2 linked regions of the Drosophila melanogaster genome follow. The protein of the gene in region 1 purifies or fractionates together with the protein of each later gene. This does not show direct contact. Each region holds a gene or a part of one and is shown on either strand. Other genes may lie near its edges.

What was found. The genes of interacting proteins can lie anywhere in the genome.
Region 2: the proteins of pippin (region 1) and CG12170 purify together in Drosophila melanogaster (affinity purification with mass spectrometry, with the first as the bait; one large-scale study listed by BioGRID). This does not show direct contact.

The regions. Positions count from the first base shown.
Region 1 is NT_033778.4:23,812,328-23,822,760, reverse strand, and holds the start of pippin (pippin), read left to right. Parts: upstream 1-4,433; 5' UTR 4,434-4,696; coding exon 4,697-4,710; intron 4,711-7,159; coding exon 7,160-7,319; intron 7,320-7,989; exon of another isoform or gene 7,990-8,026; coding exon 8,027-8,165; exon of another isoform or gene 8,166-8,227; coding exon 8,228-8,436; exon of another isoform or gene 8,437-8,869; intron 8,870-8,987; exon of another isoform or gene 8,988-9,093; intron 9,094-9,213; exon of another isoform or gene 9,214-9,255; coding exon 9,256-10,335; 3' UTR 10,336-10,433.
Region 2 is NT_033777.3:5,634,158-5,640,253, reverse strand, and holds CG12170 (uncharacterized protein), read right to left. Parts: upstream 3,021-6,096; 5' UTR 2,989-3,020; coding exon 1,672-2,988; 3' UTR 1,597-1,671; downstream 1-1,596. Other genes in the region: CG31548 (uncharacterized protein), read left to right, coding at 3,449-4,219; CG31546 (uncharacterized protein), read left to right, coding at 4,692-5,486; CG12171 (uncharacterized protein), read right to left, coding at 5,789-6,096.

The sequences.
Region 1 (10,433 bases):
GTTAAGCCCGCAGCTAGACAATGAGGTTTTCGTTTAAATAGTCCAATTACTCGTTGTGTATGACCCACATTTTCAGCTAAATCCCTATTTAGCTTGAGGTAAATTGAATTTTTAAAATAATCTATTAAAATGGCTATTGCTCTTCAAAGGCGGTCGCTGATAATCCATTACCTTGTCAATTTGCCACTTAAGCCCTCAACAAGTTCCTCGGTCGAGTAGTAGTCAACAGATACGCCACATTGCGTATACGCCGGGGTGACCCAGTCACAATAAACAGCCAAATCCCGCCATCCATCAGGATGTGGCTTTAAGTCTAATGCACTGGATACCACGATGTCACCGATCACTTTTCAGCCAGGTCGCTGATGTTTTCATTGTTATTTGATTGCGATTCAAATGTACACACAAAAGGGAAAGCGCTGCGAGCCCAGCGAATAAAATAACAAATGGCAATGGGAAAAAGGACAAAAAAAAGCCGAAAAACTGGAAAACCTGAACTTGAGCCCTGGCAAACACGCACAAAACACGGACAGGCCAATGCCAAAAGCCCAAACGCGAAGGAAACAACGCACGTTCATGCCGAACAGGAAGGAAGCCACAAGGCACACAGGAAAAGGAACAAAAAGCGTCAGCAGGGGGAGGGGCGGAAGGACCCTAGAAGAGGAGGAAAAGCCCGCTCCAAGGGCAAGGATGCTGAGGTAGCAGCCACAGCAATCACTATAACAAAAGGCACGGCAATCACAGGGCAGTTTCATTAAAAGTAACTAGGGTTCACTGCACGAAACTATTGATGCGATTAAGTGGAAGTAAAGTAAGTTATAATGGCATTTCCCAAAAAGTACACAGTATTTTCATAAATTAAACATTTTCCTAGGAGCAATTGTCTCATCTTAAAAGGGAATCTCTGATGTGTGTGATAGGATAGAATTTAGAGAATCCTTGTAAGATAAATTCCCAATATCCCACTTCTCGAAGTCCGACTGTACGACAATAAGAAGAACTCGACTTAGACATTCCAATAACAATGCCTCACAAGAGCTAAGAAAATGCCCACCAAGTGGATGGGGGCGAAAAAACTTGGGGAGCAGGAGCAAAAGGATAGCGAAAGTAGTAAAAAGTTATCGGGACTCGGGATGAAGGTGCCGCCAGGAGCAGGAGTCCGGCCCACTGCGGGTGGAGGCTGGAATTAATTTTGCGTTCATCCACGCTTGGCTGCTTGGCTGGAGCGGAAGGGACGCGGCTGGAGGCAGCACTCCTGGCCAACTTGCGGCAAATATTTGCCCAGTCCGAAGTATCCATTCGGCCCGGAATTGGATGCACCTGGTGCCCAGCCAAGCGGTTGCATGCGGAGGCGTAGGGAAGGGGGGCGGGGTTGCCTGGCATGTATATGCAAATTTATTGGACACGACTCTCAGATAATGCAAATTACGCTTCCAATCAGGTTTCAATTTCAGCTCACTGCCGCAGTGAATTCGTCGTAACTAACCAGATATTACAAGCCGTGCAGGATGCAGGAATCAAATGATGCATAGATTCAAAAGATGCACTTCAAGCCATGAATCCTTGAATGAGCGGGCCACAAGGCGAATGAATGATTGTTATATTACCTGACCTCCGCTAAATTCGTTGGGTATTTTCTTTGCTCTTATCGGGGGTTTTTGCTGAGCTGCACTCTTAATTACTTGAAACTTTGTTTGACTGTTGTCTTAAGTCGAGTTGAGTCCTGGTTTAAACGTTAAGTCCGGCCAAACTTTCGCCTTAGCCCAAGGTTTCACTTTCACTCGCAGTTTGCCCCGAAAAGTGTGCTACGAAAATGTTGCAGTTGCAACGACTTTTCATGGCCACTGCCACAGCGAATCCGGTGTCCAGCTGCTGGCTGTGGCAGGTGACAGAGTATCGGGATGGGCTGTAATCAGACTTCATTAACGCCGAATTAGCCGCACAATGCGGTTATCCTGGGCGCAGGACGTGGCTGCAACGGAACGCCGTCTAATTGGGCCTGTCAACGGACTCGTCCTGCGGGAAGGACCTTGGCGCGGGCTAGGGCTTTAATTGTTTTAAATATTTACTGGCAGGACTCGAAGGACACTCCCAGCAATACACACACACGCACAGCTCGCACAATCGCACACAAATACAATATATGGCATACACGCGGGACTTACACAATTAAGAGTTCGCTATAGGGTTTTCCCCTTCTTCAGCACTTCTCTTCACTTTTCAGCACTTTTTTCGAGGATCTTTTTCGGCAGGAACAGCAACGTTAGCGAATGGCACCAGCTATCTTGGTGGCTGCTCTTTTCGGACAGTTTCTGTGGGCTTGTTGTTGTTAAGCCTGCTCCCGTGGGTGGATCGAAAATTACGGACACGTGGAGCGTCCAATTTGGCGGACAATTCGAAAGCAACTGAAAGTGAAACGGAAGCAGCAGCAGCAGCAGCAGGAGATTTCCCGCTGAAAGGCGGAGGCGAGAAAAGTGAAAAGTGAAAAGCGAGAGCGAACGCTTTTCGCTTCGGGAGCGTGGAAAGCTCCGCCGCCGCAGCTTTTCCACCCACGCTCGCTTGCTATAAATGTTTATGGCAGCCGTTGGGCGCTGCTTTTGATTTGCAATTTGATTTACGGCCCAATGGAATGGAATGGGAAATCGGGATACTGGCGAAAAAAAGGGCAGTGGGGGTGGGGGTAATGCCATTGGGGTCACTGGGCAAAAAGTCGGCTCACATGGCGGATGGGGAATACAAGCGTTCGAAAATCAAGTATACGCCTAGGGGTACATCTGCTTATCTAGTTATTGGATAAATGCGACATCATAATGCTACATCGAAAATTGTTGTAAAAGCATGTAAATTCTACGAATTTTTCGCAGTGATTCTTTTGGTGGGCTGAGCAGTGAATATGTGTCCTTGAACAATAACTCACTTAATTATGCATTTGCATTTGGCTCTGTGTGTGAGTGTGGGAGTGCTGTCCAGTGTTCAGTCGCTGAACAATGGGCGATTGGCGATAAAAGTGTGAACTAAAATGCAGCTAAGGGGCTGACAAAATTCCAACTTGTTAAGTGAAACGTAAGAGCTTAAAAATTATGGTTGGCTTTCACTAGCCGCCCGCCCACTTTGCGAGCATCCCGCTCCAGCGGTCGATAGTTTGGCCCACCGAAGGGAGGGGAGGGCTCCAATCCCCAATAGAGACACACATCGAACAGTTGGCCAGGCGACCTTCAGGAGGAAAAGCTGCCCCGACCTAGACACTGAAACACTGGAGCATTGGAGCATTGGGGCCGAGAGAAAAATTGTGAAAACAGAGCGAGAGCGCTCTGGGTGATACATTTATTTACGCAAGTGTTCGAGCTTAGCGAACGGAAACGGAAGTGGGAGTGGAAATGGAAGTGAAAGCGGAGAGTGGGAGTGTGAGTGGGAGGGGGGGGGGTGGATTGGTAGATAGCACCGAACAACGTAAGCCGCTTACAAAAGCTCCCACATAAAAAAGAGGGAATAACAAAGTTTTAAACAGTCACATGGCGGATAGTTTCCACGCAATTTTCGCACCGTTTCCGCACCATCGGAGTTTTTTCTAATGTTATATACATATATATATATATCATCTGTAATTTCCTCGCTCCGCTTATCCTGTGCGCAATTCGCATTTCCCCGAATTTCCGCCAGCTTGTGAGCACCATTTGTGCCACCATTTGTTGATGCATCCCCACCATTCTTGTTGTTGGGCCAGGTTATGAATGAAAAGCTTTGTCAATTCAGCTTTCCTCGGACCCTCGGGTCATTTTCACGACGGCTTTCGCTTTCACAGCTCTCTTTTGTTGCTCTTTTCGATTCAGAACGAAAGGTTTTAAGCAGGGTGGTCACGAAGGGGTGGTTGTATTTATTTTTTTAAAACAAACAAGCCAAACAAAATGAACAGCGAGTAATGAGTGGCTATTTTTACACATCAAACATATCTTAAAGGCTCACATTTCTGTTTAAGGATCGAGATAGAAAGATTTGTTGCACATACTATTGAAATTTGATTTAGTTTTACATCAACATGTATCATTCAAATTCTAAATGGCCAGATTCTACAAATGTAGTCTACAGATCCGCACTTTGGTTCTAGTCTTGGCTAGTCGCGAGAAAAGTCACAAAAATTGGGCGAAAAAAGAGAAAAACAAAACTTTTCTTCAAATTTTATGCTTTACAACAAAAATATAAAAATATGCAGCAGTTTTGATTTTTTTTCAAAAATTCTAAATACTTTTTGAACGGATCGGTGCTGCAAAGCGCCGTTCCAAAGGCCAGTGCTGCAAGTCGGCTGAGTCGTAGCGCGGTGAAATTCAAATAAATGCGAAATTACTTTGCTTTGCGTGTGTGCGTGTTGCGGATCGCAGCGTCAGCGTCGATCGCTGCTCATAAATAAAAAGCCGCAGCGGAGCCGCTTTGCCAGCCAGTGTGCGTTTTGGCATGAAATGAAACTGTCGCTTTTCCGCGTGGCCCGCTTTTCTCGCAGTGTATCCCAGTGTTTTGCCGGAGATCGTTGATATATCTATATGACCACGCGATCGAGTGCTTTGATCAGACAAATTATATGAGGCAGGCGATTTAATTCGCGACTACTTTGGTTACATAAAGGGCAGCAGAGAGCGAAGGATTTGCATAAATTAATTCGGAAACAACTTGAACTAATTCGCCTACATTATAGCCGGACAAAATGAGTGTCGAAAGGTAATGGAACAGATCAAAACAATTGCCGTATTCGCGTATTTGTTGTGCTGCCAAGCACTGACATCGGGTGTCCAGTCATCGCTGCTTTCTGCGGACTTACTGTCTGGTCAGCTAAAAATACCCCCCTTCGAATACTTCGACTTTAAACCCCAGCCAGCGCAAACAAGTTTTCGGTTTCCTTCGGTCGGTCGGTCGGTTGGTCGGTCGGACTGTGTGCATTCGTGTTGCTAGGGTCCGTGATCTTTGCCAAAGGTTCTGAAGTGGCCCAGATGCGAGATAAGGAGGACCACCTTTTTCTGCCCCTTCGATAGGTGCGGTTCGGTGCCAGCTAAGTGTCGAGTTCCCAATAAAGATATGTTCCTCTGAATCTTATCACTACATTACTAACTGCCAGCCAAAAACGTCTTCGTCGATGGGTCTTGTGGCCAAAATGCCCGATGATCGACGAAATGGTCCCAGAGCAAAGGAAAGATTTCACTTACCTCACCGAAGATAGTAAATAATATTAGTTTCTAATGTGGGAACGGCTGATTAGATACGTGGGTATTTACCAGACGAAAAAAAAAAACACGTGTTAATTGAAAACAAAAGTACATTTTCCGGCTCAGCTAAGCTGAAATTTATAGAACCGATGTGCATTGTTTTGAAATGTGCTCAGACTTTATTGCCACCTTATCACGATGTCTCACGATGATTCGAAGTATTTCTACAACGATAAGCACATCAATCAATGGCAAAATGACGTTACATTATTGAATTAAAAGTGAATTGAGCCGCGCAGGTTCTTTAAGTCCTGCCGCATGGAATTTACATTCAATATATTGATTGATTCGAAATTACTCATCGTAATTGTCGTACTGATGAAATTTCACTTCTGGAACTTGCCTAATTGGATTGGTTAACCCCCCATTAATTGGTGATAAGCCCACCGCCTTCGGTTTGAATTACTGCTAACCGAGATTCCTCGGCTCTGTGCCACCAAATATGTATATCTTATCTTGAACTTTGCCATCTGGCGTGCCAATTAAATTCAGTTTAGTTATTACGCATACGCCGCATAGACCGGAACCACCATGCCAACCGGTGGTGGTGAAATGAATCCCCGATTGACTGGCATGGCGCCACCAGCTGACTGGCCTCACCCCTTCCGCCCCAAGATCCCCCAATATTGCCCCAATTAAGCCAAATCATTTGCGCGCTGCCCATTCGATTGGCTGCCCAATGATTGTCTTACTCGAGTTGTGTGTGCCGATGTGGTATAAATTATCTAATTTGTGGTGTCAACAGTGGGTGAGCATTTCGGTTTGTAGAATCCGCCGAGTCGTGCAGGCGACTCTTCCAATTCACACATTGCCATATTGATGGGCAAATATAGTGACATGGACTTCAGTCACGCCGATTGAAAGTGATTGGAAAGTTTGCCAGGCAGTTTAGGGATCATAATGGGCCTATTAAAGTCATGAGCTAGGATTTGCTTGAATCGGTTGGAGTTTTTGGTGGGAGTGTGTCAAAAACCCATTTGTTTTGGTACATTGAACCGCTGACATTATCTTCGGCACTTCCTTAATCAATCGCAGACGATTTTACCGGCGATATGGCCGTTTTATATGGCTCAAGTCCAACGATTTGAAATGTTTTGGTTTTGCCAAAGTTCGCTTTACTTTATTTGCACATTCCCATCACGACTGGCAGACTTATGGAGCCTCCAATGCCACGGTTGAGTTTTAGGTGCCCAAGGGGAAGTATTCCGTACTCTGGGCCTATTGATATCAAAATATTGTATTGAGTTGCACCATATTTATCACCCTTGATTGGACAAACTATGCCACAAAAATATTTATATCGACTAAAGAGGAAGAAAGTTTGATTCGGTTCATTAAACGTGATTCCGTATTGACCTTGGCGGGCGATAAAAAAAAAAACAACACATTAACATTATTTAAGCAGTTGAAACACAAGCAAAACAAAGGCATTCGGCAAATGAGCGAGAGCGCGAAACGCTCAAAAATCGCCGTTTTGTTTTTGTTTTTACCATGTTTTCTTATCGCGCAGCCAAAACAAACTCAAACTCAGCTGGTTTCTGCTTCCAAAAGTGACGTATTCCTGCCCTTCTTATCACCGAAGGCTTCTCTCCAAGTGCCAGTGGCTCGCATTAAAGTGCACCTAAATGTGGTAGGAGCCGCAAATGGGCAATGGGGAATGGGAGGAATGCAAGTGGATTAATTTGAGTGGCGTGTGAAAGGGTTGCCCGCTCTGCCGATCCATGAAATTGCCAATAATTGTGGGTCATTAAGCCCATTAGGCGGACAAAGTGTTGGAGCACCTTGATAATAGGCCAGCCCCTACTATATGCTACCCTGTATCTGAGGTTCACAGCGATGGGGTTGCCTAGTTTTTTTTCGGTTTTCTATGCGATATTTCATTTTCTTTTCTAATCTTCCTCAACTAGAGATGACGAGTATCTAAAATTTGTGCCCCACACGATGTCGTATCAAGTCGTCCCGGGATCGGAGTTCCAGTGCAAGAAGGCCAGCTATAGCTCCAGGAAGCTCTCCACCATCGACGAGCAGGACGACGATGCTGCCAACCGAAGGGGAATGATGCACCAGGTGGGTTTAGAAGCTATAGATTCATAAACTAAGGCAACTTTGTTCTATCAAATCTTTTCGAGAACTGAAGAGAACTTTTTAGTGGGGCATACCAACCCAACTCAACCCAACGCAACCCAACCCAACCCATATAAATCCAAATCAAGGCAGGGCCTATAATCTTGTCAGCAACTTGTCGAACATCGGACATCTCTGGGACTTCGCCTCCTCATGCGTGACAGATAGTAAATATTCCGTGAAGGACAAAATGATAAGATACGCAATTGAACTTTCTTCACGACACGATTAGAAAACGGTTCCGTTGGGGGGCAACATGTGGCGGACATGTGACGGAGGTGCTGGAATTGGACAAACCGAACGGGCACGAAGTGTCATTCAAAGTCAGGGTGTCCGTGTCAGTGTCCGTGTCCGTGTCCAGTTTGCTGGCGTCACAAATTGATCGGGCATATGCCCAATCACTGATCAATGGGCAGCGATCCCGGATCGTTTGTCACCATCAGCGCAAATCAAAATAATGTTGTCCGTGATGCAATTGCAACTTCAATTGATGCCAATTGCTGCTGGGATGGGGCAACTATGATGAAGTGATCGTTAGATTCGATTAAAGCTAGATGGCACATGGAAACAGGAATACATTACATAGTTGCTTGCACACAAATCAATTATATATCCAATTGTATATCGAATTTTATTATGTTCCCTTCTAGATTCTGGCCACCTGTGCTGTACTCTTACTTTCCGCTGGATGCGGCATGCCCATTGGATTCTCGGCCATCCTGTTGCCCCAGCTGATGGATAACAACTCCACGGAGATACCCATTGATGTAGAGACGGGCTCCTGGATAGGTGCGTTCAAACAGGTGATATCAAGCTCAAAACACCTTATTAATTCCTGCTCATTCCCACAGCAAGTGTCCATAGCCTGGCCACACCATTTGGATCCCTGCTGTCGGGACCTCTGGCGGACTATTTGGGTCGCCGTAGGACCCTGATTCTCTCTGTGATTCCCCTCCTCCTGGGATGGAGCACCTTGGCGATCGCCAAGAGCATCAAGGTGGTGATCTTTGCACGCTTCCTGTGCGGATTCGCCACCGGAATTCTGGGTGGACCCGGACAGGTGAGTAACTCAATGCCACTGGCCAGGGGTTCGTTCACACGGATCACCCGAAACACCCGGACAACGCGGAACCGGATTGTTCGAGTGACCCATTAACCGTAATCGGCGGAGCCTTGAACTCCCCCAAATGGCGCTGCCCCACTGGGAATACAAAAGAGCAGTCGTGGCAGGTGGACAGATTGTCAATTGGCCACTTAACGCTGCGTATTCCATTGTCCCGGCTCCTCTGGTCGCCTCCATTGTCTCCAGCGTCTCAGCCGGCGCTGTTTATTTACGAGCATCTTATGGATATGTCCGTGACTTATCTTGCGGCCAAAGTGATAACGATATTTATCATCGTCGGCGGCGTCATCGCTGCCGGGACTTTAAATGGCCAGCGCATCATTTGCATTAGGCGCACACAGTATACGCGTAGTAGTTCCGGATTCTTGACCTTAGTCTATAATAACGTGGATGCGGACGGGTGGGCGATTTGCTCGGATTTGGATGAATGGGCGCGTGTTCCCCCGGCTTTCGCTTCGCTTTCAATGGTTAATGGTTTGCCGCCTGACGTGATTTACGATTTTATGATTGCCGTCCAAGAGTTCCCACAGATTAAGATGTTGATGTTGCTTCCGTGACCCTCGAATAGATCAAATTGTTTTGCTGGCGAAAGTTCTAGCTGGGTTCAAGGTGGTCATGTATCAGAAAGTAATAGTAATAGTATCATTTATATAATTGATGGTCAACGTGGATAAGCTGGATTAGGATTAATGTAGACTTACTATATAAACTTACTATTTTGGCCTTCATTCATTATTTTATTTTACCTTCTCGAAGGTGTACATTGCGGAAACGGCGGAACCCAATCTGCGGAGTCTGCTGATCGGCGCGCCCTATGTGGCCTACTCAAGCGGCATCCTAATGGTCTACTCCCTGGGCTCCATGATGTACTGGCGTAGTGTTGCGTGGTGCGCCAACGTGCTGCCCCTGCTGTCCATGGTGTCTATCTCGTTTATACCGGAGACTCCGGCCTGGCTACTCCGCAATGGCCACGAGAAGCGTGCGCTGCAGGCCCTCTCGTTCCTGCGGGGCAGCGAGATCAGTGCGCAGAAGGAGCTGAATGATATGAAGCAGAGGCTGGCCAAGGAGCGGGTGACCACCAAGACGAACGAGAACATCTTCCAGCTGTGCTGCCAGCGCGTGGCCATCAAGCCGCTGGTCATTGTGATCGTGTTCTCGCTGCTGCAGATGTTCTCCGGCACGTTCATCGTGATCTTCTATGCCGTGGACATGATCTCGGAGTTCGGAGCGGAGTTCGACTCCAAGCAGGCGGCCATTGCGACGGCAGTTGTCCGGGTGATCTGCTGCATGGTCTTCTGCGTAGTCCTGATCTTCGTTCGCCGCCGCAGGATCATGATAGTGTCGGGAATCGGCTCCGGCTTGTTCTGCCTGGTGCTCAGTGTCTATCAGTATGCCAGATTCGATCAACCGAAAATGTCGTACGACGTATTCGTTGGTGCCGGCTGTCTCTTGGGCTACATCATCTTCAACACGGCTCTGATGGTGATGCCCGGCATTATGATCGGCGAGCTCTTCCCGGCTAGGATACGCGGACGGACTGCCGGCGGAGTGTTTGCCTCCATGAACGTCGCTCTGTTCATCTTCGCGAAGAAGTTTCCCGCTTTGCAGGCCATGCTCAAGATGCGCGGCGTGTTCCTGGTCTTCGGCGTGTCCAGTTTCCTGCTCACTGCCTTTATGTGCCTTTTCCAGCCGGAGACGAAGGGCCGCAGCCTGGAGCACATCGAGGACTATTTCAACGGGGACAACTGGCTCTGGTTCCGGCGGGATCGAGGCTACAAGACGGTCAACCTGCAGCCCCTGGAGCCATTGAAGGACACCCGGGGGCTGGAGGCCTAGGTCGGGGGGCTTTAGTCTTAAAACAGGTCTTAGCTTAGCTAGTTTTAGCCATACTCATAGTTCTAGCCGCAGTGCCTCGTAGTCGCCCTAGACTCGCT
Region 2 (6,096 bases), on another chromosome or scaffold:
GCATAAGGCACACAGACGTGTGGACAGGCATTCGACTTAGGATCAGGATCAGTGTAGTTACAGCATCACTGTATGAACAGGACAACAAAACGCGATACCCGATAGCAACCACAAACCACTTTATTAGCGCTTAAATAGATGTCTTTTTAACAAGAAATAGTAAGATAGTAAGTGTTAAGGTCTGTAGCAGCAGTAACAGAACGCGAGACAACAAAATATTTATAAATATTTTATATATATTTTAAATTTAAAAAATCTCAACACACCGAATGCAAGCTGCACTTTCCTACGAAGGTGCCAGCTGCAACGCACGAAACTCAAATGTTCGTTAATTCGTTTAGTACACAACGCATTTGCAATGGTTTTTTAAATATACATTTGTGAATGTGTGAGTTCTGTCGAACTTTTAAATCGCGCTCTAAAGTTCCACTTTATTCCTTTATTTCCTAAACCTAGCTAAAACCAGATACGTAATTATGAAATTGAATGGCCTCCGTAAGTTTTAAATGTTTTTCTGTCCAGATTTGAATTGTAAGCCGAAAGATATTTGAAATTGTTTAAGCGATTTGAATTAGGGAGTGGAGAAATTTAACATTGTTAATGAATGTGGCGTGCAAAATTAAGTAATTAAAGCCCAATAATTTGAACTGTAACTAAAATCAAGAAGCGTCAACTACAAACAAACTGTACAGTAAATAACTAAAATTTAAAAGTTAAATTTCGAATAAAGCGTATTTTCATAATGTATGTAACAAACGACGAAAGTTCGGTCATTCAAAGAGCTATCCCACACACGCCTGCACACATCCCTCACCACCACCACAACCCCCACCCAAGCACAAGCCCAAACCCACATATAGCATATTATTATTTACGCATATAATTAGTACGAGTCTAAGCCGCATATAATAAGTATGTACATCCGTTGTGTATGATTACACGGAGATAACAAAGAATGTCGTCTAGACTCTAGAGATAGAAGAGCAGCAGCAGGGCAAGCTGAATGCAGCAGAAGCACGCAGAGCATAAAGAGAAAACCAATAATATTAAATGATTATGAAACGTTTCGATTGTAAGCCAACATACTTTAACTTAACGACCTAAGCAATTTTGTAAAATAAAAACACTTCAAATTAAACGATTAGTTAAGTCAAATACGAGAACGAACGGTTCGCAAGCTGAAACTATTGTCAAATTTTGGCCACGATCACAGCAGAACCCGCGCGAAAGCCAAACCAAACCAAACCAGTCACCAGCCATTGATTTGAACCTTCATTTTCCACAAGAAAACACAAACTCCATTCTGTTCAACCGGAGGGCGGCGACTTCAAGCAGCAAAAAAACCGCAATAACAAACAAACTAACAGAGAGACAAGCAACAGAAGCAAATCAAACAGAGCTATATACATAATTATATACCTATATATATATATTATATACAGATATACAGTATAACAGTACATACATGGCGCATTGGTCAAGAACAGTACGCATAATCCTTTTTACAGAGCAAGAAACTGACGAAGACGACGACGTGACGGCCAGACAAGCAACCGAAAAAGTTTTCCAAATAAAATTTTAAAACTAAACATTTTTCCTAAAAATATGCAAACATTCAAGGATTTTATTTACGTGGATCTCTAAAAAATAGTTAACAACTTATCGCTACTATTAAATGTAGCTAGCAATGCAGAGGGAGGCATTGGTTCCTCCAAAGCCGAAGGAATTCTTGAGGGCAACACGCCGCTTTTGGTCCGCCGACCAATCAGTAGCTTTCGTGACCACATTGACGTCCACATCGAGGTGCTCAATGTTGATGGAGGGCGGCAGCTTGTTATTCGCGCAGGCGAGCACCACAAAGAGCGCTTCCAGGTTGCCAGAGGAGCCCAGCAGGTGGCCATGTGCTCCCTTGGTGGAGGAGACCCTCACCTGCGGAGTGTGCGCCCCGAAAACACGACCTATAGCGTGTGACTCAATGCGATCCCCGGTGGGCGTGGAGGTTGCGTGGGCATTTACATACGTAACATCCTCTGGTGCAATCCCAGCATCTTGTATGGCCCGCTTCATGGCAAGAGTGGCTCCGGCGCCGTCATCGCTGGGCGACGTTATGTGATAGGCATCGCCGGACAAGCCGTAGCCCAGAATCTCAGCTAGAATGGGAGCTCCCCGAGCGCGGGCGTGCTCCAGTTCTTCCAGCAAGAGCACAGCTGCGCCCTCGCCCATCACGAAGCCATCCCGGGACTTGTCAAACGGTCTGGACGCAACCGCCGGATTATCGTTGAATGCGGTGCTCAGAGCCCGCAGTCTGCAAAATCCAGCGATGGAGAGCGGATCTATGCAGGCCTCACCACTCCCCGCCAGCATCAAGTCGGCATCTCCGCTGCGAATGAAGCGCATGGCATCGCCCAGGGCATGGGCACCTGTGGCGCAGGCCGTGGACACCGAGTGGTTAGGTCCTCTTAAGCCATGTCGCATGCTTATGTGACCACACGCCATACTGGGCAGCAGCCTGGGCACGAAAAAGGGGCTTACTCTGTTGTAACCTCGTTGCAGCTGGTTCCAGGCGCCATAGACCTCTGCAAGGTCGAACATGCCCATGCCCACGCACACTCCGAACCGCTCAAGCTCCTCCTCGCTCAATTGCTTGGGGCACAGCTTTCCGGTTGACAAGGCCTCCTCAGCCGCCAATACGGCAAGCTGCGTGGCGGGGCTCATCAGCTTAATGTCCGACTTGGTCAGGTGTTGATCCAGCTGTAGGTTTTCCCTCGGGATTTGAGCCGCAACCTGGCAGGGCAAGCCCTTAAACTCCGCACTCAGCCGAGAAATTGCCGACTCGCCGGCCAGGATGCGTCGCCAAGAATCCGGTCCATTGTTGCCCAGCGGAGTGACTGCGCCACTTCCCGTGACCACCACTCTGCGGCGCCCAGATGGCGTGGATAAGCTGCGGGTTTGCCTGACCAAAACAGTGCACTTTCCTAAAACTCGCATTTCGTTTACATGATCACGTAAGTGAGACCGGATAGCCGTTAAAAAATACCAAGCACACTTCGAAAATATACTAAGACTTAACATTTTATAATATACCAAAATACTTAATAAAATATTTAATACAATATATAAATAATTTATATAATAATTTGTTGACTAATACATTTTTAGTATTCGAAGTATTCTAGAGGAACATATGGAGTTCAACATTAATAATACATTTTTTAATAGAGCTTACCGTTGAAAAGCTGAATTAAATAAAACAATAGATTTTTATAATTGTTGCTCCCTTAACACAAATTAAATTTAATTGATCATTTTACCAGATTTTTTAAACGTAAAACCAAGCACACCCTTTCTCCTGTAAGATTTTCGGATTTCTACCAGGTGAATACCCCTATTGAATCCAGCAAGATGCGCACTGAGCTTGAGATCCCCTTACATAATTCTGGATCGGATCATGAATTTCGCGGGCAAAGTGGTCCTTATTACGGGAGCAAGCTCCGGAATCGGAGCTGCAACCGCCATTAAGTTTGCCAAGTACGGCGCCTGTCTGGCTCTCAATGGACGCAATGTGGAGAACCTGAAGAAGGTAGCCGCTGAGTGCAGCAAGGTGAGCCAATCACAGCCGGCCCTGGTGGTGGGCGACATTGCCAAGGAGGCGGACACCCAGAGGATTTGGTCGGAAACCCTGCAGCAGTACGGCAAATTGGATGTGCTGGTCAACAATGCCGGAATCATCGAGACGGGCACCATCGAGACGACTAGCCTGGAGCAGTACGACCGCGTCATGAACACCAACCTGAGGGCAATCTACCACCTTACTATGCTGGCCACCCCCGAGCTGGTCAAGACCAAGGGCAACATCGTGAACGTGTCCAGTGTCAATGGGATTCGCTCCTTCCCTGGCGTTCTGGCCTACAACATATCCAAAATGGGAGTGGATCAGTTCACCCGCTGTGTGGCGTTGGAGCTGGCTGCCAAGGGTGTGCGCGTGAACTGCGTGAATCCCGGCGTGACGGTCACCAATCTGCATGCCCGCGGCGGCATGGATGCGGAGACGTACAAAAAGTTCCTGGAACACTCCAAGACCACCCATGCCTTGGGTCGTCCTGGAGATGTCAAGGAGGTGGCTGCGGCCATTGCCTTCCTGGCCAGCGATGAGGCCAGCTTCAGCACTGGAGTCAGCCTGCCGGTGGACGGCGGTCGCCATGCCATGTGCCCACGCTAATCCCACAGGACATGGAACTTTTAGTTTCCCCTGCATGGATTCTTCCATGAGTAAATGCATTTAATCCGATTTTTTTAATTGTTATTTTGATTTACCTATTGTTTTGATTGTGTACATAAAACTGATTGCCATTTATTTAGTCATCTTTGTGTTCAGCACTAGAGTAGTTTATCAAAAATCAATCAAAGTCAATATTTTTGAACGTGATCCACTAACTAGGGTTAGTTAAAGTTTATCTCTTTATCTCAGTTAATTTTTAATATTGAGATTTTATTGGACAAAGTCGAGGTTCTTAATCCAAACTCTTTTTTTAGTTAGTAACTATCAGTTGCTCTTATATTTTTGTTATTTATTTAGTAAAAAGAACTAAGATCACGTTCTTGGGGATCAGGGTTATATTTCCTCGATAAGTCATCTACACATGTACGTACATTCGAATGTAGTTTGGATTTTCATTTGAAATTTCGATTCGATGGGCAGCAAGGGCAAGGCTGGTCTGGACTTCTCCGGCAAAGTGGTGCTTATCACGGGCGCAGCCTCCGGGATCGGGGCCGCCGCGGCGGAGATGTTCTCGAAGCTGGGTGCCTGCCTGGCCCTGGTGGATCGGGAGGAGGAGGGCCTCATATGTGTGATGAAACGCTGCATGAAGATGGGCCACGAGCCGTACGGCATAGCCGGAGATCTGCTCAAGCCTCCGGAGATCGAATGCATTGCGCGGAAGACCACGGAGCGCTACGAGGGCAAGCTGGATGTGCTGGTAAATGGGGCTGGCATCATGCCCACGGGAACGCTGCAGAGCACGGAACTGGCCTGCTTCACCCACGTGATGGAGGCCAATGTGCGTTCTGGGTTTTATCTGACCAAGTTGCTGCTGCCCCAGTTGCTGCAGTGTAAGGGCAGCATTGTCAACGTGTCCAGCGTCTGCGGACTTCGCGCTTTTCCCAATCTGGTGGCCTACAACATGTCCAAGGCGGCGGTGGACCAGTTTACCCGCTCCCTTGCCCTGGATCTGGGTCCCCAGGGTGTTCGGGTGAATGCGGTCAATCCGGGTGTGATTCGCACCAATCTGCAAAAGGCGGGGGGCATGGACGAGCAGAGCTACGCCGAATTTCTGGAGCACTCGAAGAAGACCCACGCCCTGGGCCGGATTGGGGAGCCAAAGGAGGTGGCGGCCGCCATTTGCTTCCTGGCCAGCGAGCTGGCCAGCTTCGTGACCGGCGTGACCCTTCCTGTGGACGGTGGCAAGCAGGTCATGTGTCCGCGCTAGTCTCTGCTAGGATATTCTATATGATCATCTGATCCTGTCCAGACGAATGTCTTTAATTTTCCCTTGTTTTCCGCCGATTAAGTCCATTACTACGAACTTGAAAATTTTAAGTATCAAATTAAATCTTGCGTACGTTGCCAATTTTTATAGGGCGGTTTTCATTTTATTTATTTCTAGCAAACTATTACATTTACATAGAATCACATCCTTGAAAAGTATTTGAAATACACGAGGTAAGCGCGCTACTTTAATTAAAAATAAAAAAATAAGATAAATGCATGCATGGATAAAAAACTCCGTTCTTATCTGGGGCACATGGCATGGCGACCGCCGTCCACGGGCAGGCTGATACCGGTGCTGAAGCTGGCCTCGTCGCTGGCCAGGAATGCAATGGCCGCAGCCACCTCCTTGACTTCGCCGGGTCGACCCAGGGCATGGGTGACCTTGGCGTGCTCGAGGAACTTGACGTAGGCTTCCTGGTCCAGTCCACCACGACGCTGCAGCTCGGTGATGATTACGCCGGGATTCACGGAGTTCACACGCACACCCTTGGGAGCTAGCTCCAGAGCCACGCACCTGGTGAACTGATCCACGGCAGCCTTGGAAACAT